3 linked regions of the Struthio camelus genome follow. The main gene of each other region encodes a partner of the protein of the gene in region 2 in a complex. Links are inferred from orthologs where the notes say so. Each region holds a gene or a part of one and is shown on either strand. Other genes may lie near its edges.

Region 1 (7,759 bases), on a different chromosome or scaffold from region 2:
AATGAAACTTGGTAAATTCTCCTGTCTAGATTTCTTAACAGGCATACAAATTCGGCAAATCCTACCAAATAAGACAAAATATATCAGCTAGTTTCTACCTTATTTTTCAGTTAAGTAGCATTTTCAAAGGATTATGACAAAACAGTTCATAAAAATAATTTTAAATATGCCCACTGTGTTTTACATCATTTACTAGAAGGGGATAGCCTTCCAACATCTGTTGAATATTTCCAGCACCACAGCTTTCACATCCAGGTGCTCTTTTTTCTTTGTCAGGGGAAATTAGCTTAGAAAAAGCTGAATTTCCTGATAAGCAGAACTATCCAAGATGATTAAGTCCCCAAAATAAGCTACAAGAACAGACCAGCAACAGAAGAAGGACTTTAAGGCAATAAGAGGCATCAGTGCTTCGATGCGCCAATGTTTACATCCCAATGCACGTTCTACTGCAAAGATTTTTTTTCACCCCCCCAATTTCCTCCTGATCTGTTAACTGTCAGACTCTTCCTCCTTCTCGTCCTCCTCCTCATCATCGTCCTTTGTGTTTGCCTCAGATTTATCTGAAGATTCATGGAGAAGAACATATTCCCTGCTACTGAACCCAAATTTCAACACATCCTTTTCTTTCAGTTCATAGTAACGTTGAGGTTCAATCCGCTGGTTATTTAGAAAAGTACCATTGCCAGAACCAAGGTCAATTATATAAGGCCTTACTCTGCGGCCAACTGTACCATCAGCACGGGTGTACTCCACAAGCCTGGCAAAACAAAAAGCACTATTTCAATCATAACAAGACAGACACAAAATTCCCATTTATGCAGCCACTCTAGAAGTAGATGGAGTTTTCAAAACGTTCTGTATTTTCAAAAATTTAAGCAAGCATAATGAGTGTAAGGAGGCACTCGGGATGAGATTCTGAAAGACTGCATCACCTTCTAAAACTTATGGTGATATAATACAGTAATTTGTAACACCGAACAGATGGCTGTTCCTTGAGAGCAGCTCTGTCTTCAGCAGCATACAATCCTTGCTGCTTCAAAAGGATAGCAGCAATCTTGGTTGCAAAATATTTTTACCGCTAATTACACCTGAGAGCGTTTATTCCAATTCAGATATACATCCAATTCTGCATTTAGTCCTGCTATGTTATTTGTCTTACAGGAAGACTGCTTGTGGTTAAATGGGAGAAGTTTCAAGTATTTTTGATTACTGCTAAGAGAACGTACAGCAGCCATATGTGAATTCCAGCTATCTCTGACATGAGACACTTACAGCAAACTAACACTTCTAAACTCTGTTTTGGGGTTTTTTTGTTTGTTTGTTTATAAATACAAGTTTCAGAATACTTCTGTTTCACCAGCAGGCACAGAGAATAATACTTACCGATACTGAAAGACAGCATGTTGCTTTGAGCAGGAGGGATGGTCAATAGGAATATCTGCTATTCTGCGATGCCTGCCCAGGAGATAAGCGCTCTGTCTGTGAATGTACATGACTGGAAGGAACTCATCATTTTTAAAAGGATAGAGGCGCCATCGTTTCTTTGGTATCCGAGCTTCTGGGGGCTCGCTGTACTTAATCACAACACCTCGGAAAGTGTTGGCATCTTCCAGAAGCGCACCAGACAGTTCAAAACTTGGCTTTTCTTTTTTTACAGGATCTTTAGGTTTATTATCAGATTGCCCGAGTTCTGGATTCTGGTTAATACCACTCACTTCATTCTTTTGTCGGTGCTCTCGTCTTCTCTCATTATAGAACTCCCTCTCTGCTTGCTGCTCACGAATGTTCTGAACATCCCTTTCTCGCTCGTGGCCTCGGCCTCCAGGCCTTTCATTAGGATTTTTCCTTCTGTCCGAGTGATCTCTGTGTCTTTCTCTCTCACCACTTCTATCTCGCCTGTGTTCTTGTTCTGATGGGTTTCTCTGCTTTCGTTCTTCATTTCCTCTGTGACAATGATCATCTCGTTCCTGTAATGAATAATCTCTTATAGTGGTCTATTTAGAATTAGAAGAAAAGAGAAAGGAATCTACTTTAAAGAAAAAAAAAATCACAATCTAACACATGAAAAACAAGGACTCAAAAGTCTTGTGTATTGATCTAACATAAAGTAGTAAAAAACTATTTTCTTGCTGAACTATTTGGATTCCCACGATTACAATGAGTAACACAAGCTTAAAAAAGAGAGACAGACCTGCCATCCTTCCACAGAATAAGATGCTTGAAGAGACAACTGAAAGCTAAAGGGGCTTGTACTTGACTTTCAGATATCAACAGTATTCCGGGCAAAGCAAGCAGCTTGCAGGAACAGTCCGCACAAGTGGTAAATTCACAACACGCCCATATGAACACTCAATTGCTCAGGACAGAGTTTGAAGTGGATAGCAACAGATATTGAACCTGTAAAACTTTTTTTTAAATTAGACATGACAACAACTAAAAGAAAGTAAGTCAGGAACTATTTTTCCTGCCTTCCACGGATGAATTTTGCCAGAGGAGGCTCACTCTCTCTCTCTCTCTTTCCGGGAGGCAGTGCAGCGCACAGGGCCCTAGCATCGCCTCCCCGGGAGCGCTGGCCCCCCAGACCCGCGGCAGGGTCAGGCCCCGGCGGCAGCACCGAGGCGATTTACCTGCTTGACTTTGACTGCGACGTGATGGGGGCTCCGGCTCCTCCTGCTCCGGGGGGACTTGCTTCTCCTGCCCGACGCTTTCTCCTTCCTTTTGGGCGACCTTTAAGGACAGTGGGGGGGGGGGGTGAGGGCACGGGAGCAAAGCGGGAGGCCGAGGCCCGGGCGCGACGCCGCCGCCGGGGCGGCCCTACCTGCTGCTCCTGCTCCTGCCGCCCCGGTGCGGCCCGGCCGGGCCCCGCCGCTCCTCGGCCGGCGGCGACTGGCTGCCCCGCGCGGAGCGGGAGCGGGAGCCGGAGCGCCGCGGGCTCCGCTTCTCGGCCTTCACCGCCGCCCGCCGCCGCCGCTCCCGCCGCCGCTCGGCCGCCGCCGCCTCCATGGCGCCGCCGCCGCGCGAAGGGAAGTGCGGCCGCTTCCGCCTCGCGCGCCGCCACCCGGAAGTACTTCCGCCGGGGCCGGGTGGGGGGAGGCCGGCGCCGCGCCGCCCTTCTCCTGCGCGTGCGCGCAGCCTGCTGGGCTCCCGCGCACGCGCAGCGCGCCCGCCCGCTCCCCCCCCCCGCCGCGACGCGCCGTCGCCATGGCGACAGCGGCGCGCGCGGCGAGCGGCCGCCATGATCCCGCCGCCGGACTCGCTGCTGCGCTACGACCCGCCGGTGCTGGTCAGCCGCCGGGCGGAGCGCCCCGGGCCCCGGGCGGACGGCGGCGGCGCCTCCGCCCCCGCCCCGCCGCCGCGCCCGCCCACCGGGGGCCGCCCGCCGCCGCCGCGGCCCGGCGCGGCCGCCGAGCCGGCGCGGGAGGTGCTGAACGCCATCCTGCCGCCGCGGTGAGGGGCGGCGAGGGGCGGCGGGCGGGCGCGGCCCGGCGGCGGCGGCGCTGACGGCCGTGCTCTCCGGTGCAGGGAGTGGGCGGAGGACGGCCGGCTCTGGGTGCAGGAGGTGTCGGGCGCCCCCAGCACCCGCGCCGACGTGGTGCGCCTGCAGGAGCAGCTGGACCTGCGGCTGCGGCAGCGGCAGGCGCGGGAGACCGGCCTGTGCCCCGTGCGCCGCCAGCTCTACGCGCAGTGCTTCGGTCAGTGCCGCCGCGCCGGCCGCCGCCGCCGCCTCGCCCTCTGCCCCGGCCCCGGCCGCGCCGCCGACAGCCAGCCGTGGCGCTCTGCGGCTGCCGGGCAGCCAGCGGCGGCCGGCGCGGGGGGCCGGCCTCCCCAAGCCAACGCACCTACTGCCTTAACTGTGCTTTTGTGCCTGTTGTTTAAAGATGAACTGATCCGCGAAACGACGATTAACTGTGCAGAGCGAGGGCTGTTGCTGCTTCGAGTCCGAGATGAAATCCAAATGACGATTGCTGCTTATCAGACTCTGTATGAGAGCAGCGTTGCCTTCGGCATGCGGAAGGCACTGCAAGCTGAGCAAGGCAAATCTGACATGGAGAAAAGAGTGAGTTGGGCTGTCAACCTCGTAAGGTAGCTTTCTGCATGTGATAAAGCGTAACGATTTCACGTACAAAATTTTATATAAAATCAGGTATTTCTACTTCCACTGGATGGCAGTAAAGACCATCAAGATACTTACCTTACTGTAGGGCTTAATTGTACTCCATAAATTTATCTGTTCTACCTATTGTACTGTACAACATAAAACTTGAACCTGTCTTAATTGGAAATTGCTTATTAACAAACACGATTTGAGCAATCTATACTCTTTTCCAAGATTGCAGAGCTAGAGGAAGAAAAGCGGGAGCTGGAAAAGCAAGTGACTGAACAGAAAGCTAAATGTGAAGCTATTGAAAAACGTGAAAATGAAAGGCGACAGATAGAGGAAAAGAAACACAGTGAAGAGGTCCAGTTCCTGAAACGAACAAATCAGCAGCTGAAGGTTAGGATGCATTTGTATTCATGTTCCACCTTTGAATTCTCAGTGAAATAGGAAAAATGCTCTTCTGCATACTTTACTTCCTTGCTCCGTCAGTAATTAGTCATCATGAGTAAAACTGATCATCCAAACAGCAGGTCAGATTCATTGGGCTCTAGTTATATACAAATTTGCCACAGGGATATCACAGTTTGTTCTGATAATGCTAAATCCTTATGGTCAGTTAGCAGACGCACACAGATGAACCCCAAATATAGACTTCAAATTTGACGCCCCTGGAATCTATTTATGCATAACTTGATTTTAAGGTTGTTGTAGCTGCCATCCCTTTTCAGCTACAAAAAAGAAAACTTAATAAAGACAAATGAAGAAAGTTTTGTTTCTTTGCTGTTGGCCAGAGCAGCTAAGTTTACTCCCTGATAAGAAGAGACACCATTTAAAATTAAACATTGCCTAATAAGAGCAATTGTGTATTATATGCAACAGAGACTTTTTTCTTTTATCCTTGCCTCAAAGCTTACATGAGATACACTGTACTACCAAAAGCTCAGGCATCACTGAGAGGGTGCCTAAGCCCTGTGCTTATGTATTGTAATTTAACATTCCACTTTCCTTGATTTATAAACAAGGTAAGTTACCACTTTTCCAACCCTAGGTAGAGAGGTCAACTAAAAAAAAAAGGCACAAGACTAATCTGTGGCTTACATCCTTAAAACATGTATTTGGTTATTTTATTTTCATCTCTGTGGGAGAAGTAGCATTCTCTTTCTTCCCTTACGGATGCTAGTCCTCATCATAAGGTGTCAGTTATTTCATATACAGTGGGCAGACTCTACTATAGCAGATTTTAACTACGCTACCTGGCCTGGAAAACAAACGTTGAATTATCAGTTACTGATCTACTCTTTGTATTTAGGGATCAGAGGCACCCCCGAAAGGTGTTTGAGAAGCTCTTTAATAGATGTATTTGTTGCAAATCTAAAGACAGCGTGAACTTTAGTACAGTCTGGAATAGTTACAAGAGAACCAAGTGCGCATTTGTAGTATGGATTTAACTTCTTATACATTTTTCTAATAAAACTATTTAGCCATAGGATCAAATCCCCCAGGGAAACTTGGTGGCACTGTTGTCATATTTTCCTCAAAACTTCCAATCTACATCTCACATAACCGAGCTACAGACAATAGCAAAACCTAAGGGCAAGCACACACTATTGCCTGGGTTTCTAAGCTTCTAAACATTTAAAGTGTGATTACTATATTGTAGGTAAAAGTATGTGTCCTGTTCACCTGTTGGTTGCTAACATGCTACCATGGACAATGGTGAAGCAATTTGTCCTATGGTGCTCTTGACTGGATCACTGAAATTGATTTGCATAGGACAGAAGTAATTTTGTGCATGCTACTACTCAGCAGCCAAGACACCTTCAGTTTGACAAAGACAGATTTCTTTGCTGTTGGGGGAAAAAAAAATCAGCTTTTGATTAAAGAAAAAACGTAATCAGAAACAACATTAAACCTGTCTGTCTAGAAGTTTACTTTGCACTCAGCTGCTTTCCTTATCTTTAACATTCTTACTGTTTTTCTTGTCTAAACCATTAACATCTTCAAGCCGTCTTGAACTGTTTAGGACATGAAGTGGAATAACTGTTAGATTAAAGACGTGTTGCCACTGAAGCTGTTATTCTTCTTTGAACTAGAAATATTTTAACAGCTATATATATATATATTATATATATATACACACACACACACACACACCAAAACTGGAGTTTATTTTGATGGCAGCAATATGAAGAGGACAATCTGCAAGTCCCAGAAGCTTCATATACCAAAAACTCCCTAAGCATTGGTAGCTCGCTGATCAATCTACTAATTGGGCATCAAGTTGTCTCAGTAACTGAAAAACTTGCTGTTCCCAGTTCCTTTTGTCCCAGAGTCAGAGCTTGTGTTCCAGACTGTAAAGAGCCAAACATTTAATTTAGCGAACATAGTCTAGCCTGAAATCAGAGAACTCAGACCACTGTTTCAACAGCTTTTATTTAATTTCCTTTTCAATGCTTTACATTATAAAATGAGTCTTTCATTGTATGGAACCAAGGCCAGCTCTTTTCTTCTCAGAAGGCAACAAGTGTGCATGCCAAGAATGAAAAGTTAATTTATAAAACATGTAGTAAGAAATGAAATAACCAGAGGAAAAAACCCTAGCCTATTTCTCTTGAAGTATTGCAGCATCCCTCAGCTGCTCACTTTGAATACATAACAGACAATTTATCGCTTTTCAGCAATGTGGGTTTATTTTTTAGATTAAGGCTAATTTAACTTACTGTCTCATTTGTTTTCAGGCTCAACTTGAAAGCATCATTGCACCAAATAAGTAGATTTCTTGTTGTCCTCCCGGCAGCGCTCAAAAGAACTGTCAAAGCAAGAAGTTTGCAATTAGTGAAAAAGATCTGTCTTCATAAAACAACCCTGAATTTTCACTTACCAGTAACTGAAGGCAGTGTAGTTGTATTAATTCTCCCTTTCAGTGCTGTCTAAACATTCAGCTCCTTGAATGGTGAGCCTATCTGGGACATACCTGTTGATAATATGCTACATAACCTGCAAAGCAATATACTAATAAACTTTTTTTTTTTCCACATACAAGCCTCTGTGTAAAATTCTTAACTTGAAAATGTTGTATAAACTTCAGAAACAATTACGAAATGTCTATAATTAATACAAGAGCAAGAACAACTATCCTTTATATAATCATTTTAGCACCAAGTATTCAGGTAGCAAAAAGGTAGGTCTGAATTCATTAAGATGTGTCATTAAGAAGCACATCTAGTCATGCTGCATACAAACAATTCAAGAACCAACTCACTTTATTTTTATCTGAGTCAAATATGTTTTTGAGAGGAGATAGGAGGATAAAAACCAACCTTTGTTGCGTAACAAAATTGCAGGCCTTTTATTAGGTTGCTTTTTCTCATTTGGGCTCTCTATCCCACTATCTTACGCTCTTCACATACTGCTTAACAAAGGCAAAAGCTGACCATAATCTTCCACTCTCATTGCAATCCTGCTGCCCTTAGTAGACATCAGTACTAAGGATATATAAATTAGAGATGGTACTTGCAAGCTAGATACTTTTGGATCCACACTGCAATAAGCAGGCACGTGCTTACAACTTCACTGTGAAACTTTCTTTTAATGCCTGGTAATAGGAACACTGTTCAACATCTCAAAATTAAATACAATAGTTAGGATATTTTTTAGAAT
Region 2 (7,377 bases):
GGACTTTGGGAAAGAGGGAGGAATTTGTGGACAGCAGGGTTCCCGGGGGGGACTTTGGGGACACTGGGGAGGATATTGGGGAGGCAAAAGGGGGATTTGGGAACCTGGGGGGGTGCCAGGAGGAATTTTGGGGACACTAGGGGGGATTTGGAGACACCCGGGGCATTTGGGGGACACTGAGGTCCTCAGGGGGGACACTGGGGTGCTGGGAGGTTTTGGGGGGGACACTGGGGAGCACTTTGGGCCACCAGGAGGAGGATTTGGGAACCTGGAGGGCTCCAGGGGAATTTGGGGACACAGAGGTGATTTGGGGACACGGGGGACAACTTTGGTGTGGCAGGAGGGGGATTTGGGAACACAGAGGGGGATTTGGGGAAGCCAGGGTGGATTTCGGGGATGCTGGGGCAGGATTTGGGGGCACCAGGGTGGGATTTGGGACACTGGGGGGGACTTTGGGGTGGCAGGAGGGGGATTGGGGAACACGGAGGGCTGCAGGGGGCATTTGGGGACGTCGGGGAAGTATTTGGGGACACTGGGGGGGACTTTGGGGTGGCAGGAGGAGGATTTGGGAACACAGAGGGCTCCAGGGGGGCATTTGGGGACGTTGGGGCAGGATATGGGGACAACGGGGACAACTTTGGGGTGGCAGGAGGCGGATTGGGGGAATATGGAGAGCTCCAGGGGCACGTGAGGACACTGGGGGTGGGGGGGAATTTTGGTGACATTGGGATTCCTGGGGGACACCAGGCTCCCGTGAGGTTTTGGGGACACCGGGGAACACTGTGGGGAGGTGGCAGGGGGATTTGGGAACCGGGGGAGGCTCCAGGGGGATTTGGGGGACACCGGGGGGGATTTGGGGATGCGAGGCGCATTTGGGGGGACACTGGGGTCCTCAGGGGGGTAGTGGGGTCATGGGAGGTTTTGGGGGGACAATGGGGAGCACTGAAGAATTTGGGGACACTGGGGGGACTTTGGGGTGGCAGGAGGGGGATTTGGGAACACAGAGGGCTCCAGGGGGGCATTTGGGGATGCCAGGGAAGGATTTGGGGACAACGGGGACAACTTTGGGGTGGCAGGAGGGGATTTGGGAACACGGAGGGCTCCAGAGGGATTTAAGGAGGCTGGGGTGGGATTTAGGGACAACAGGGACGACTTTGGGGTGGCAGGAGGAGGATTTGGGAACACAGAGGCCTCTAGGGCAAGATTTGGGGGGGTCAGGGTGGGATTTGGGGACACCAAGGATAACTTTGGGGTGGCAAGAGGGGGATTTGGGAACACAGAGGACTCCAGGGGGGCATTTGGGGACATCGGGGAAGAATTTGGGGACACTGGGGGGGACTTTGGGGTGGCAGGAAGGGGATTTGGGAACACGGAGGGCTCCAGAAGGATTTAAGGAGGCCGGGGTGGGATTTGGGGACAACGGGGACAACTTTGGGGTGGCAGGAGGGGGATTCGGGAACACAGAGGGCCCCAGGGGAATTTAGGGACGCCGGGGTGGGTTTGGGGACACCGGGGGGTGGGTGACACGGACCTGTCGAAGGCCTTGACGCGCCCCAGGAGCTTCTTGTTGTTGCGGCAGTTGATGAGCACCTGGGTGTTGTTCTTGACGGACTGGGTGAGGACGGAGAGGGGCCCCGTGTTGAACTCCTCCTCCTCGCGCTTCTGCAGCTCCTCCGGCGTCATCTCGCTCTTGGGCTTGTTGAGCAGCGACCTGCGGCGTCACCCCGCCGGGTCACCCCAGGGTTGGGGACACCGGCATGGGGGGAGGGGGGGGGGAAACAGAGGACGGGGGGAACAGGACAGCAGGGAAGACGCGCCCGGGGGGACGCAGGAGTGGGCGCAAGGGCATGAGGGGGGCACTGGGAGGGGGGGGACAACGGGGAGCGGGGACATTGGGGAGAGGGGGGAGCCCAGACCTGGTCCCCTCCCTGCTCCCGGTTCCCACCGTCCCTGGTTCTCCCCTCTTACCAGTCCTCCCCGTTTCCGGTCTTCCCTGTTCCTGGCCCCCCTCCCCCGTTCCTGTTCCCTCCTGTTCCCAGTTCCCCCTCCCCCAGTTCCCCCCCACTCCCAGTTCCCCGTTCCCCCCATTCCCGGATCCCCCATGCTCTCGGTTCCCCCCGTTTCCGGTCCTCCCAGTTTCCCCTCATCCCCGGTCCTCCCATTTCTCCCCCATCCCTGGTTCCCCCCGCTGCCAGTTCCCCCCCATTCCCGGTTCCCCCCTGTTCCCATTCCCCCTGTCCCCGGTTCCCCCCCATCCCCAGTTCTCCCAGTTCCCCCTCCCCCCGGCCCCGGTTCCCCCCCCCGTTCCCATTCCCCCCGTCCCCAGTTCCCCCCCATCCCCAGTTCCCCCCTGTTCCCGTTGCCCCCGTCCCCGATTCTCCCAGTTCCCCCCCCCGTCACCCGTACCCCCAGTTCCCCCCCATCCCCGGTTCCCCCCGGCTCCCGGTTCTCCCAGTTCCCACCCGTCCTCGGTTCCCCCCCCCCCCGCTCCCGGTTCCCCCCATCCCCGGTTTCCCCGGTTCCCCCCTGTTCCCGTTCCCCCCCCCCATCCCCGGTTCTCTCAGTTCCTCCCGGCCCCGGTTCCCCCCCCCCGGCCCCGGTTCCCCCCTGTTCCTGTTCTCCCCATCCACAGTTTTCTCAGTTCCCCCCCATCCCCGGTTCCCCCCCGTTCCCGGTTCCCCCCCGTTCCCATTCCCCCTGTCCCCGGTCCCCCCCCGGCCCCGGTCCCCCCCCGTCCCCGGTTCCCCCCTGTTCTCGTTCCCCCCATTCCCAGTTCTCTGAGTTCCCCCCGCCCCCGGTTCCCCCCCCGCCCCCGGTTCTCTCAGTCCCCCCCCCCGCTCCCGGTTCCCCCCCGCTCCCGCTCCCCCCTCACATGGCGGCTCCCCTCGCGCGTCTCCCGCTCCCGCGCGCCGCCCGCACGGATCCACTTCCGGGGCGCCCAGGAGCTACTTCCGGGGTCACGGCGCACTCGCGGGGGGAAAGAGGGCGCTGCGCATGCGCGCCGGGAGCGGGGAGGGGGGAGGGAAGAGCCGCCGCTACGGCAGGGCGGAGCGGCCAAAAGAGGCGGGGCCGCGCGCGGCCACGGCGGCAGCGCTGGGGGGGGCGAGAAACTGCCCGGAGGGGGCTGGAAACGGACATGGGGAGGCTGGAAACGGACATGGGGGGCTGGAAACAGACATGGAGGGTGGAAACGGACATGGGGGGCTGGAAACAGACATGGAGGGTGGAAACGGACACGGGGGGCTGGAAACGGACTTGGGGGGGTTGGAAACGAACATGGGAGTCTGGAAATGGACAGAGGGAGCTAGAAACAGATAATGGGGGGCTGGTAACAGATGTGGGGGTTGAAACGGGCATGGGGAGTGGAAATGGACATAGGGGGGCTGGAAACTGCCATAGGGGCTGGAATGGGCATGAAGGGGCTGGAAACGTGTATGGGGGAGTGAGAACAGGCATGGGGGGTCTGGAAACGGACATGGGGTGCTGGAAATGGACATTGGGGGGGCTGGAAACAGACATGGGGAGTGGAAACAGACATGGGGGGGCTGGAAACGGACCTCATGGGGGGCCCAGGCTGACATGAGCCCCCGCCCCCCCCCAGTTGTACCAAAGCGGGAGGGGGCGTGGGGAGGCAGCGGGCGCAGAACAAGGTGCTGGGAGGCGCTGGGCGCTGGGGGTGCCCGGAGGAGAGCAGTGCAGGGTGTCCGGGGTGGGGGGCAGTGTGTGCCAGGGGTGCAGTGTGGGGTGCCACGAGGGAGGCAGTGGGTGCTGGTAGCGCAAGGGGGCAGTGCGGGGGTGCTGAGGATGCAGTGGGGGCAGTGCAGAGTGCGGGGTGGGGAGGCAGGGGGTGCAGTGCGGGGGGGCAGCGGGTGCCGTGGGAGATGTGGGGGGCAGCGGGTGCAGTGTGGGGGGCAGTGGGATGGCCGGGGGGGGCAGGGGGTGCAGTGGGGGGCAGTGAGTGCAGTGCGGGGGGGGCAGTGCGGGGGGGCAGCGGGTGCCGTGGGTGCCCCGTGGTGACAGTGCTGGGGGGGGGGGAGGGGGGCTGCCCGGAGCGGGGCGCGGGGCGCGGGGCGGGGGGAGGTCCGAGGGGCGTGGCCTCGGGGGCGTGGCCAAGGAACGGGGGTGTGCCGGCGATGGGGGCGGGGCGGGAGGGAGGGGGCGGGGCCGGCGGTAGAGCGGGGGGCGTGTCGCGCGGCGGGAGGGGGCGTGGCCGGCAGCGGCGGAGCAGGGGGCGTGGCGCGCCGCCGGAGGCGGGAGGGGGCGTGCGGGGGCGGGGCCGGGGGCGGGGCCGGGGGCGGGGCCGGGCGGGGGTCGGCGGCGCGGTGGGAGCGGGCGCGCAGAGGGCGGCGGCGGCGGCGGCGGCGGCGCCATGGCCGGGCGGCTGGCGGCCAGGTACGGGGAGGGGGGCGGAGCCTGGGCGGCCGGGGGCGGGGCCAGCGCGGCCAGGGGGGCGGGGCCGGGGCGGGGGGGGTCCGCCCCCTCCCCCACGCGTGTGCGGGGCGTGGGGGACCGGCCGTCCCGGGGTGAGGGGGGGGCACGAGGGTCCCCGAGGGAGCCGGACGGGTGCTCGTGCGACGCACGCGTGTCCCCGTGCGAGACACACGCGTCCCCGTGCAAGACACACGTGTCCTCGTGCAAGCCAGGCGGGTCCTCGTGCGAGTCACGCATGTCCTCGTGCGAGCCAGGTTGGTCCCCACGTGAGCCACGCGTGTCCTTCTGCAAGTCACGCGTGTCCTTCTGCGAGTCATACGTGTCCTCGTGTGAGTCACGCGTGTCCCCTTGTCAGCCAGATGGGTCCCCATGCGAGTCTCACATGTCCTCGTGTATGTCACACATGTCCCCGTGCGAGCCAGGCGTGCCCTGGTGCGAGCCGGACACGTCCCCGTGCGAGCCAGGCGGGTCCCCGTGTGAGTCACGCGTGTCCCTGTGTGAGTCACATGTGTCCTGGTGCGAGTCACGCGTGTCCCCGTGCGAGCCAGGTCGGTTCCCGTGCGAGTCACGCGTGTCCTGGTGCATGTCACGCGTGTCCTCGTGCGAGCCGGCCGTGTCCTCGTGCGAGCCACGTGCGCCGTCGTGCGAGCGGCGGCGGTGGCAGCCCCTCCCCGGCCGGCGGCCGCGGGGCCGGTGCCAGGCCGGGCGCCACGCCAGGGCCGAGGCGTCGCACACGCGTGTGCGCCGGGCCGGGCGCGTGCCGCCTCGCGGGCTCGTCACGCGTGGCCTCGGCGTGTCTTGCCCGGTGACACCCCCCCCCCTCCCGCCGGCCACGGGCCTCCCCCGGACGCCTGGGCCCCTCGGACGCCTGGGTCCCTGCTTGGTTCCCCACCGGCCTTAGGTGCGGACCCCCCCCCCCAAAAGGGGGCCCGGGCATCCAGGACACCCCCCCCCGACCAAGAAGGGGCCCAGGCGTCCAGGCCACACCCCCCTCCCCAAAGCTGACAGGGGCCCAGGCATCCGGGACCCCCTCCCCACCAAGAAAGGGCCCAGGCGTCCGGGCCACACCCCCCCCAAATGTTGGCAGGGACCAAGACGTCCGGGAACCCCCCCCAAAAGGGGACCCAGGCGTCCGGGTCCCCCCCCACCAAGAAGGGGTCCAGGCGTCCGGGACCCCCCCCCTTAAAAGGGGGCCCATGCGTCCGGGACCCCCCCCCACCAAGAAGGACACCCAGACGTTTGGGCCACACCCCCCCAAACGTGGCAGGGGCCCAGGCGTCCGGGCCCCCCCCACCACTAAGAGAGGACCCAGGCGTCCGGGACCCCCCCCACCATGAAGGGGCCAGGTGTCCGGGCCACACCCCCCCCGAAATGTGGCAGGGGCCCAGGCGTCCAGGACACCCCCCACCAAGAAGGGGCCCAGGCGTCCGGGCCACACCCCCCAAACCTAACAAGGACCCAGGTGTCCGGGACCCCCCCCCTTAAAAGGGGGCCCAGGTGTCCGGGAACCCCCTTCACCACCAAGAAGAGGACCCAGATGTTTGGGCCACACCCCCCCAAACGTGGCAGGGGCCCAGGCGTCCGGGATCCCCCACTAGGAGGGGACCCAGGTGTCTGGACCACACCCCCCGAAGCTGGCAGGGGCCCAGGCGTCCGGGACACCCCCCACCCCACCAAGAGGGGGCCCAGGAGTCCGGGACTCCCTCACCAAGAAGGGACCCAGGCGTCCAGGCCACACCCCCCTCAAAGCTGGCAGGGGCCCAGGCGTCCGGGACCCCCCTCCACCAAAAGGGGACCCAGGCGTCCCCCCCACCAAGAAGGGACCCAGGTGTCCGGGCCATACCCCCGCCCCCGAAGCTGGCAGGGCCCCAGGCGTCCGGGACACCCCCCACCCCCCCTAAAAGGGGGCCCAGGCGTCCGGGACCCCCTCCCCACCAAGAAGGGGCCCAGGCGTCCGGGCCACACCCCCCCAAACTTGGCAGGGGCCCAGGCGTCCGGGACCCCCACACACACCAAGAAGGGGACCCAGGCAGCCGGGCCACACCCCCCCCAAAACGTGGCAGGGACCCAGGCGGCCGGACCCCCCCCCCAACCAAGAAGGGGCCCAGGCGTCCGGGCCACACCCCTCCAAACCTGGCAGGGGCCCAGGCATCTGGGCAACCCCCCCCCCACTAAGAGGGGACCCAGGCATCCGGGACACCCCCCAAAAAGGGACCCAAGCGTCCGGGACCCCCCCCCAATAAGGGGCCCAGGTGTCCGGGACCCTCCCCCCCAAAAAGAGGGCGCAGGCATTCAGGACCCCCCCCACCAAGAAGGGGCCCAGGCGTCCGGGCCACATCCTCCCCCCCCCTTCTCCGAACCTGGCAGGGACCCAGGCGTCCGGGCCCGCCCCATAGACCCCTCCACCCCTCCCCCCACCGGGAGGGGACCCAGGCGTCCGGGCCGGGTGGGGGGGGGGGAGGGAAGCTGCTCTCCCAAGGGCAGAGAGGGGAAGGAGCCCAGGCGTCCGGGCCCCTCCCCCCGCCGCACCCCCCCCCGGTGGGGAGGGGGGGAAGGACCCAGGAGTCCGGGGACAAAACCAGTTAGAGCCCGGACTGGTCCCAGTTAGAGGCTGGGACTGGTCCCAGTTAGAGCTTAGACTGGTCCCAGGTGGAGCCCAGACTGGTCCCAGTTAGAGGCTGGGACTGGTCCCAGTTAGAGCCGGGGGCTGCGCCGCCGGGGCTGCTCCCAGCCCCCCCGCGGGGGCCGCCCCTCATTTGCATGCATTAGCATGGCCCCGCCCCCCCGCGGGGCCCCCGGCCGGGCCCGGCGCCAGGGACAGGAACAGCCCGTTCCCGCACGCACACGGGAGCGCACGGAGGCGCCGGGGCCGGGCCGGCCACCCCGCCCCCGCACACGCTAACGCACACGCTAACGGACACCCTAACGCACACGCTCATGCACACG
Region 3 (7,002 bases), on a different chromosome or scaffold from region 2:
AAGAAAATAGTGTATGCAAAAACTAAACCAAGTTTAGCCCTGCATGCTGTGTACTTTTAAGCAAATGATGACTTGCTTTAATTGACTTTAATCAGCTGTTACTACAATCTCTTGCAAGAAAAAATTTACAAGGGCCAAAGACCGACAAGAAGCAGTGAAGTTTTTCAGGCAAAGATCCCATTCAGAAGTGCTCAGAACATGTAGTTCTCAAAGAAATGACAGATTGCTAACATCGTTGCCAGAGAGGGACACTAAAGAGGAACCAGAAGGGATCAGAAGGCCAACTGAAGCCAACTGAATTAAATCTCTGAAGCAGTGATCTGTAGCAGGTCCATAACATTTAAATCATTCCCTAATAAAATGCCTAGCTTGTGTTGAAGAGGAGATAAACCAAAACTTTTCATGTAATCTTGAATCCTACTAAAACAATCTGACAACCTGACAGTCTTATCCTAAAAGGAGTAGGACACTTCACTGAACAGCGAAGTTCTATTTACTACTTAGGAAAACTGTAATCCTACATACAGCTCAGGAAGATTTACAAATGGGCTGAAAAGTATTGGACTAAAACTGCTGGATTGCTTTGAAACACACTGGAAATATAGGAGCAGAAGTCAAACAAAAAAAGCTTTCTCCTCATTGAGATGAGTATTGATGCAACACAAGTCTAGGCAGTTGTTTAACTAAGAACTAAATAACTCCATTTCATCTCTGCTGTAAAGGTAGGCTTATGACTGTTCAGCAGTTTGGTAAGCAGTTTACTGTTCAATGCTCTTCTGGACCAAGCTATACAAGGAGTTGGAGAACTGGAAGGTGAAGGAAAAAGGTGGTTTTAACCAAGGAGGCTAGCAGAGAACTGGAAAGAGCACTGCCTGGGAATTTCAGGAATTGTAATTCAAACCAATTTCAGTTTAGAAACTTGGAATCATCTCCAGACTTCAGTCTAATCATCTGTGACTAAAGACGCTAATGATTTAGATAAGTCATTTTAATTTCTAGATCTACCTCTTTTTCATTTGTTTCTCCAGAACTGATCTTTTTCTTATCATTCTGAGATCTACATTCATGTACTCCAAGATTTTGGGTCAAACTGCTTGCTTTTACAAAGCACTGCATCTGTTCCAGCCTCCACAGACAATGAAATCATAGACTTATGATGTATGGGAAACAGAGGGAGAACTTACCTCGATAATCAACTCCAGAATTTAATTTTACAACAACTGGCCGTCCAATGATTTGCTTTAGAAAGTCACTAGGGGTTTGCTTCCGTAGACTCATCTTTATCTTCCCTGGTAGGTCGGGAAGAGAAGAAGGGAGAAGAAGCATTTGGATAAGTAACACACTCAAAAGTAGACTTTAAACACTCAATGCAGACAGGCACTCTCCTGATTCTCAAGACTCTCAGTAAGAGAAAATATCAAACGAGATAGAAGGAAGGACAGTTCCTAGAGCTATAGCGTTAAACTTTCTATTTGACATTTGTATAACTCCTGAAATTCTTGACAGGAATCCTTGATTTAAAATTATTTACCATGCTGTGCCTCTTGCAAACTTCCAATGTAGCCAAAAGCCTCAACTTCTCTTTGCTGAAATAGATTTACTAAAAATCACTGAATAATTAGTAACTGGTTCCTATCTGGGCAGGGAGGAGGATGGAGAGGAAGCCAGTACATGCTCTACATACAGAAGTCTGGGCTGAAACAAGAAAAGGGATTTTGATCTCAGTAACACCAACATGAGCAAAGAATACATTAGAAAGGATGACTTCAAAAAACTCAATTAGATTATACTAAGTTTAGAATTAAGCACTGTAATTAACTTGTGCAAAAACCTGAAAGAATGCTGTGGTTTAAAAATTCATGGCACTACATACAAGCCAAGTTTGGTAGGAGGCCCTAACTCAGTATTGCTTCCTTCTGTTTTAATGTTATTTTAAGTCATTTTGCCTAAGTAACAGCTATTCTGCATTTTAAATTAATTGTAGAAAATACTGCTAATGATGCGTTGGCATCATTACTATGTCAACCTTTTGCTGCTTGATATTTCATCAATACAAGGATTTTGAGACTTTTAATCACTTTGTACTAACATACATCTTACGGTTTCACACGTGATATTTACAGCGTAAGACTTGTTTGCATAACATAGTTTTCTGAGAAAGCACGAACATGCTCTGAAATAGCTTATACTGTACAGGTACACTGCCTGAATAGGAACAGAACTGGGCAAGATCTGCTTTCACTAGACTTACCAATTTACCTATGCTATGGATTCACAGTTTTTGCTTTTACTTGCTGCTTTTATGTGTGTTTAAAAACAACTAGAATAGCACCAAAATATACTTCGACAGCATATACACAACGGGAAGTATTTCTAAAGAAAGGTTTATGACAGAAACGCTAAATGCAATGTGAAGCTTTACAGCCACGCGCTTGTCAAAGGCAGAACACCTAAAACAACTGTCTGGCACCATACCTCCCATCACCCTCCCCCCTCCAAAACACACGGCTGGGTGCACCCAGCCGGGTTCCCAGCTCCTGCTCTAACGGCGGCGAAGAGGACGGGGAAAAGAGGAAATAACAAAATTCTGCGTGGACGTAACGGGGAAGAAAGAAAGGGGGGGAAAAAACCCTGAGCGCACGTTTGCGCACGCGTTTTGCCGTGCCGATGGAAAAAAAAAAAAACCCTCCCGGGCCGCTTTATTTACCGAATAAGCTCGCTGCCTCGCTACGCTGCTCTGAGGGGAGACACCCGTCAGCGCCCGGCCCAGCTCCGCGACCCCGAGGTGCCCGGTCGAGGTGCCCGGTGGAGCCGCCCGGGGGGGGGGGGGGGGGGCTCCAACAGCCGCGGCTCCCAACGACCGCTCCACTCACCCGCCGCGCGCCGCCGCTGCCGCCGCCCCTTCCCGCTGCTCGAGGCCGATCAACACCGCCCCGCTACGGCGCGGCGGCCGGGACAAAACGCGCCCGGCTCGAGAGCGCGTTTGGCAAGGCGACGGTAGGCGCGGCCGGGAGGCGTGGGGGGAGGCGGCGCCTCCTCGGGCGGGCAGGCCCGCCGCCCGGCGCCCTTTCACCTGTGCCCCTCTTCCCCCCCCGCTGACCGTTGAGCCCTGGCCGTTGACCGTTAGTTAGCCGTTAGCCCTTGGGAAACGCGGCCGGCTCTGCCCTTTCCTATGCTGGCAGCGTCCGAGACGAGCGTCCCAAGCGCTGGGAAACCAGACCTGTTTACGACCAGCGTATCGTGAGCAGGTTTGGCGACGCTGAAAGTTGAACTCCTCTCTTTGCGGTACAGGGACCGAGCGTGCAGGCCTCTTAGGCTGCTACGTGCCTCAGACTTACTTTGGAGGAACCTATTTCTAGCTGTGCCAGGTTAGTTGCTAGCACCCAATAGTAACTATTTTTTTTTTTTAAACACTCCCAAGAAAATACTGTAAAGGGCCATTGGTTATAGTGTTTTTCCTATTACGTTTTTTGAATAATCAGAGTTGCTTTCACAAAACTACAGATGCAAAGGTCGATACAGAAGGCAGTTGGTCATCACTGGATGAGCAAGGATACCCGCTGTCTGTTGTCTCCCCTCTGTCTAGTTTGTCCAAATACACAGAACTTCATTTTTCTCTAGCTACGTCGTCACTCCTGCTCGTGATATATGTCAGTCCTGTGACCTGGAAAGCTGAAGTGGTAATGACCCTCTTTGCATTTTTCCAAAGCATGATGAAAAGTGGAATCTTGGGCACGTTTCAAGTTGTTCTTGCACAACACTGAAAGACAAAGTTTCCTACCTTCTGATCTGAGCTGTTTTAAGAAGGGACCCTAAAAGCTTCATCGTAAGATGTCCGCACCTTCAACTCTCATACAAAAAAAGCCTACCAGAAAATAACCTGTAATAGTTCTCACTTCTCCTTCCCCTTTAACTGTGATTGTAATTTTTGCTTCTTTCATTAACACAGACTAATGCATGAACCTGAACAGGGGCATGGGGGGCCCAATTATCAGAACTCCAGTCTGTGTCTTTTTCATGATCGGTTGAAAGTAACTCAGGCTACAGGAGGAAACTTCTTAAATCTGAGGTTATTTTAATAGATTACTCCATTTATGTTTTATATTATGAGAAATTCTGTCTTATTAAAGGCCATAAGTCTCATCTGTTTTAGAATTATGACAATGCAAAGGCGTTATTGATTTCTCGTAAAACTCCTCCAAAATCTATCTGAATGTTCTGCAAGTGATTCACCTTTAGAATCTACTGATACTTTATTACCTAAATTCTGATTTGTTAATGTAGATGCATTTTTTATGTCTTGCTCATATTTATACCAGAAAGTAATGTCTCATTGATTTCTTATGGGAAAATGATATGATCCAGTATATAATTCTGTTCTACTATAATGAGATTCCATTTATTCCCAAACGATCTTGTCCTACATAGGCCTTATTAGATTTCGGTGTAGGGATCCTTACAAAAACTCTAGATAGGAAAGTGTTGTTCAATACATTTTACAGGTGAATTAATGAATGTAGAAACTAAGTGATGTTTTCCAGTGTTGCCTGAATAGAATATGACAAAACGAGAAGTCAAACTTCTGTCTTCTACTTCTCTCCTCACCTATCTTCTCCCCTTTCCCCCAGCTATCACCATAATGTCTGGGAAGTCCTTTCTTTTTTAGGGATTTAGTACCATGACAGGAGTTAATTTATCTGTGAAAGCCTCTGAACTGGATTTTTTATTCTTCCATTATTGATTTAATATCTTAGTAAAACTATTAATTCTCGTGATACAAAGAAAATACACTATGGCTTTTCAGAGCATGCATTAGTAAATGTCTTCCTCTCTTGCTTCTAGAATTGTTTTATGTTCTCTTTTTTAACGCGTTTGGTAACATTTCTTTTTTTTTTTTTCCCAAAAGCTTAGGCTAAAGGGCTGTAAAAGGCAAGGTCTGCAGACCCAATAAAGTTCACCTTACTGTCCTAGAGTTCAAGAACAGTCATAGTTAGGAAAGTAGGGCCACATTGTGACCGTGTTGCCGGGCAACCATCATATTAATCAGGAGCATCCAACTGTGCTTGATTATATCTAGTACTTGAAGCAGAAAAGGAACCTAAAATAGTTACTACAGGGAGCAGGCTTACAAAGTTTAATTTGGCCACCAGGCTTCAGTGCATAATATTTTGATGAGAAAGTATCCTGTTTTTCATTATTATTGATCTCTGTGATAAAGACTGGGCAACTAGATTTCATGCCTGGGCTGGTAAATTTTCATAACAATTTTGCAAGTCTGGCTAGGCATATTTTGTGATTTAGGAGCCTTCCTTTTTTGTTTTACTTCTGACAGATTTTTCTTTGCAGCTTGCATTTCCTTTTTGCTAGTCTCTGCTGAGCTGTTTTACCTGCTGCCTAACAGGCTGCTTTCTAGTTAGGTTAGGTAGTAGCTATAGCTTGTGTGTATATGGATATTTTTGTTGTTTGGTGCCAGTCAGCAAAATCTTTGCAATTTCCTACTTGGTACCTTATTAAGCTTATAAACATGCCTATTTTAAGTCACGAGAATTGAGTTTGGTAAGAGTTTTGTATCCTTAACTCCCCTCATTCATGGCTTGAGGTCAAGTCAGGAACCCAAATCCTAATTTTCTGTGGTTTGCTTTAAGTTTTGAAACAATCTCACAGGCTGCTCTTAGTGGTGAATTGACCTTTGTGCAATAAGATGTATATTTCTGAGCAGTTTGGTGTAGTGTGATTTGCACCTGGAAAATTCCTTTCTTGTACATTTGGAAAGATTATGTAATAACATCTGTTAATGCGCAACCCAGAAAATGTTATATTTCCTGAATGACAAAATCAAAATGACCTCAGGAAGGTGGTCTTCAAAGGGTTTAAGTAATCCACATTCAATGGAATCTCTGAAGATTTCAAAGCTTCAAGAGTGAAAATAAAATTAAGACCTCATTGGCTAATGAGGTCTATACTCACTCATGAATTCTATACTTGTTTGTTTCAGTCATCTAGATGGAAAAGGATTTAGATCTTAAGTTTTCGCATGGTTTGCTATCAGTAGAATCCTTTAAATACCGTATTGCTTTATCCTCTCATAGTATACTACGATAGAGCTTTTTCAGCTTTATAACTCACTGAAATCAGTGAGATGCTGCCCTTGCGTTTTAATCAAGATGAACTTGAAAGGTGAACATTGTAAGTGGTAGAAATTATTTATAATTTGGTAATAAAAGTTTATGTCTAACACTCCAAATTTCATACATCTGCTATGTGCTGGCCTTGAGATATAGAACAATTGCAGTTGCCTTTACATTTGGCCTTAGATGAAAGGTCATAAATTACAATGATTGAGTTCATAGTCATTCCCAGCTCACAAAATTTCCATATTAACATCTTCACCTCAAACATAAATGGTTACAAAGTTACAAAGAAAAGAGTTGTGTTGGCCTTTGTCAACTGAATTTAATGATGGAAGTCGGTGGAACGTATACTATTGCTAACTCTTAAATGTGAAGCATTGCAGAATCTTTGTTCGGAGGACCTAATTAAAACTGTACAGTTAACTTCAAAAATGAAATGGGATTTGACAGTCTCGCTCTTTCTTTTTAATGGAATGAAAACTGCTTCAAAGTTAGGAAGGTTTTTCTTTCCCAGCTACTTGAAATAAAAATATTTCCATAGAGCAAGATGGCTATATAACACAATATGTTAAAAAGATTGTCCAGCTCTTCTAGTTCTTGTGAAGAGAACCTTACATAAGTTAAATGCAGATGAACAACAATCCAGATGGCAAAAGAATGTCTGTGGCCGACTTTGAATTCGACCTAAGTAATCCCAGGCTGTAATCCAGTGGATGATAAAAGAAGACGTAGTAAACAATTGTCATCTGAAAATTAGGTCACAGAGGACAAACCTACTCTGGTCAAAATCATGGCTTTTGCCCAGATTTTAACAATCAGATTTGGTACCTCCTTAGATTAGAAAGAAAAAAAAGTCTGAAAAATATGCAAT

What was found.
Region 1: SNRPD2 (region 2) and SNIP1 share a complex: the UniProt entries of both Homo sapiens proteins name them as parts of the minor spliceosome. The link is inferred for Struthio camelus from reciprocal best matches to the Homo sapiens genes SNRPD2 and SNIP1.
Region 3: SNRPD2 (region 2) and LSM6 share a complex: the UniProt entries of both Homo sapiens proteins name them as parts of the U4/U6-U5 tri-snRNP complex. The link is inferred for Struthio camelus from reciprocal best matches to the Homo sapiens genes SNRPD2 and LSM6.

The regions. Positions count from the first base shown.
Region 1 is NC_090964.1:10,834,242-10,842,000, forward strand, and holds the start of SNIP1 (smad nuclear-interacting protein 1), read right to left. Parts: upstream 3,004-7,759; coding exon 2,819-3,003; intron 2,728-2,818; coding exon 2,628-2,727; intron 1,968-2,627; coding exon 1,384-1,967; intron 758-1,383; coding exon 490-757; 3' UTR 1-489. Other genes in the region: DNALI1 (axonemal dynein light intermediate polypeptide 1), read left to right, coding at 3,236-3,447, 3,523-3,692, 3,879-4,057, 4,331-4,495, 6,838-6,873. UniProt on the Homo sapiens protein: Required for pre-mRNA splicing as component of the spliceosome. As a component of the minor spliceosome, involved in the splicing of U12-type introns in pre-mRNAs. Down-regulates NF-kappa-B signaling by competing with RELA for CREBBP/EP300 binding.
Region 2 is NC_090957.1:2,000,932-2,008,308, reverse strand, and holds the start of SNRPD2 (small nuclear ribonucleoprotein Sm D2), read right to left. Parts: upstream 3,003-7,377; 5' UTR 2,875-3,002; coding exon 2,873-2,874; intron 1,712-2,872; coding exon 1,532-1,711; intron 1-1,531. UniProt on the Homo sapiens protein: Plays a role in pre-mRNA splicing as a core component of the spliceosomal U1, U2, U4 and U5 small nuclear ribonucleoproteins (snRNPs), the building blocks of the spliceosome.
Region 3 is NC_090945.1:34,991,115-34,998,116, reverse strand, and holds the start of LSM6 (U6 snRNA-associated Sm-like protein LSm6), read right to left. Parts: upstream 3,004-7,002; 5' UTR 2,874-3,003; exon of another isoform or gene 2,708-2,873; intron 1,290-2,707; 5' UTR 1,279-1,289; coding exon 1,185-1,278; intron 1-1,184. UniProt on the Homo sapiens protein: Plays a role in pre-mRNA splicing as component of the U4/U6-U5 tri-snRNP complex that is involved in spliceosome assembly, and as component of the precatalytic spliceosome (spliceosome B complex).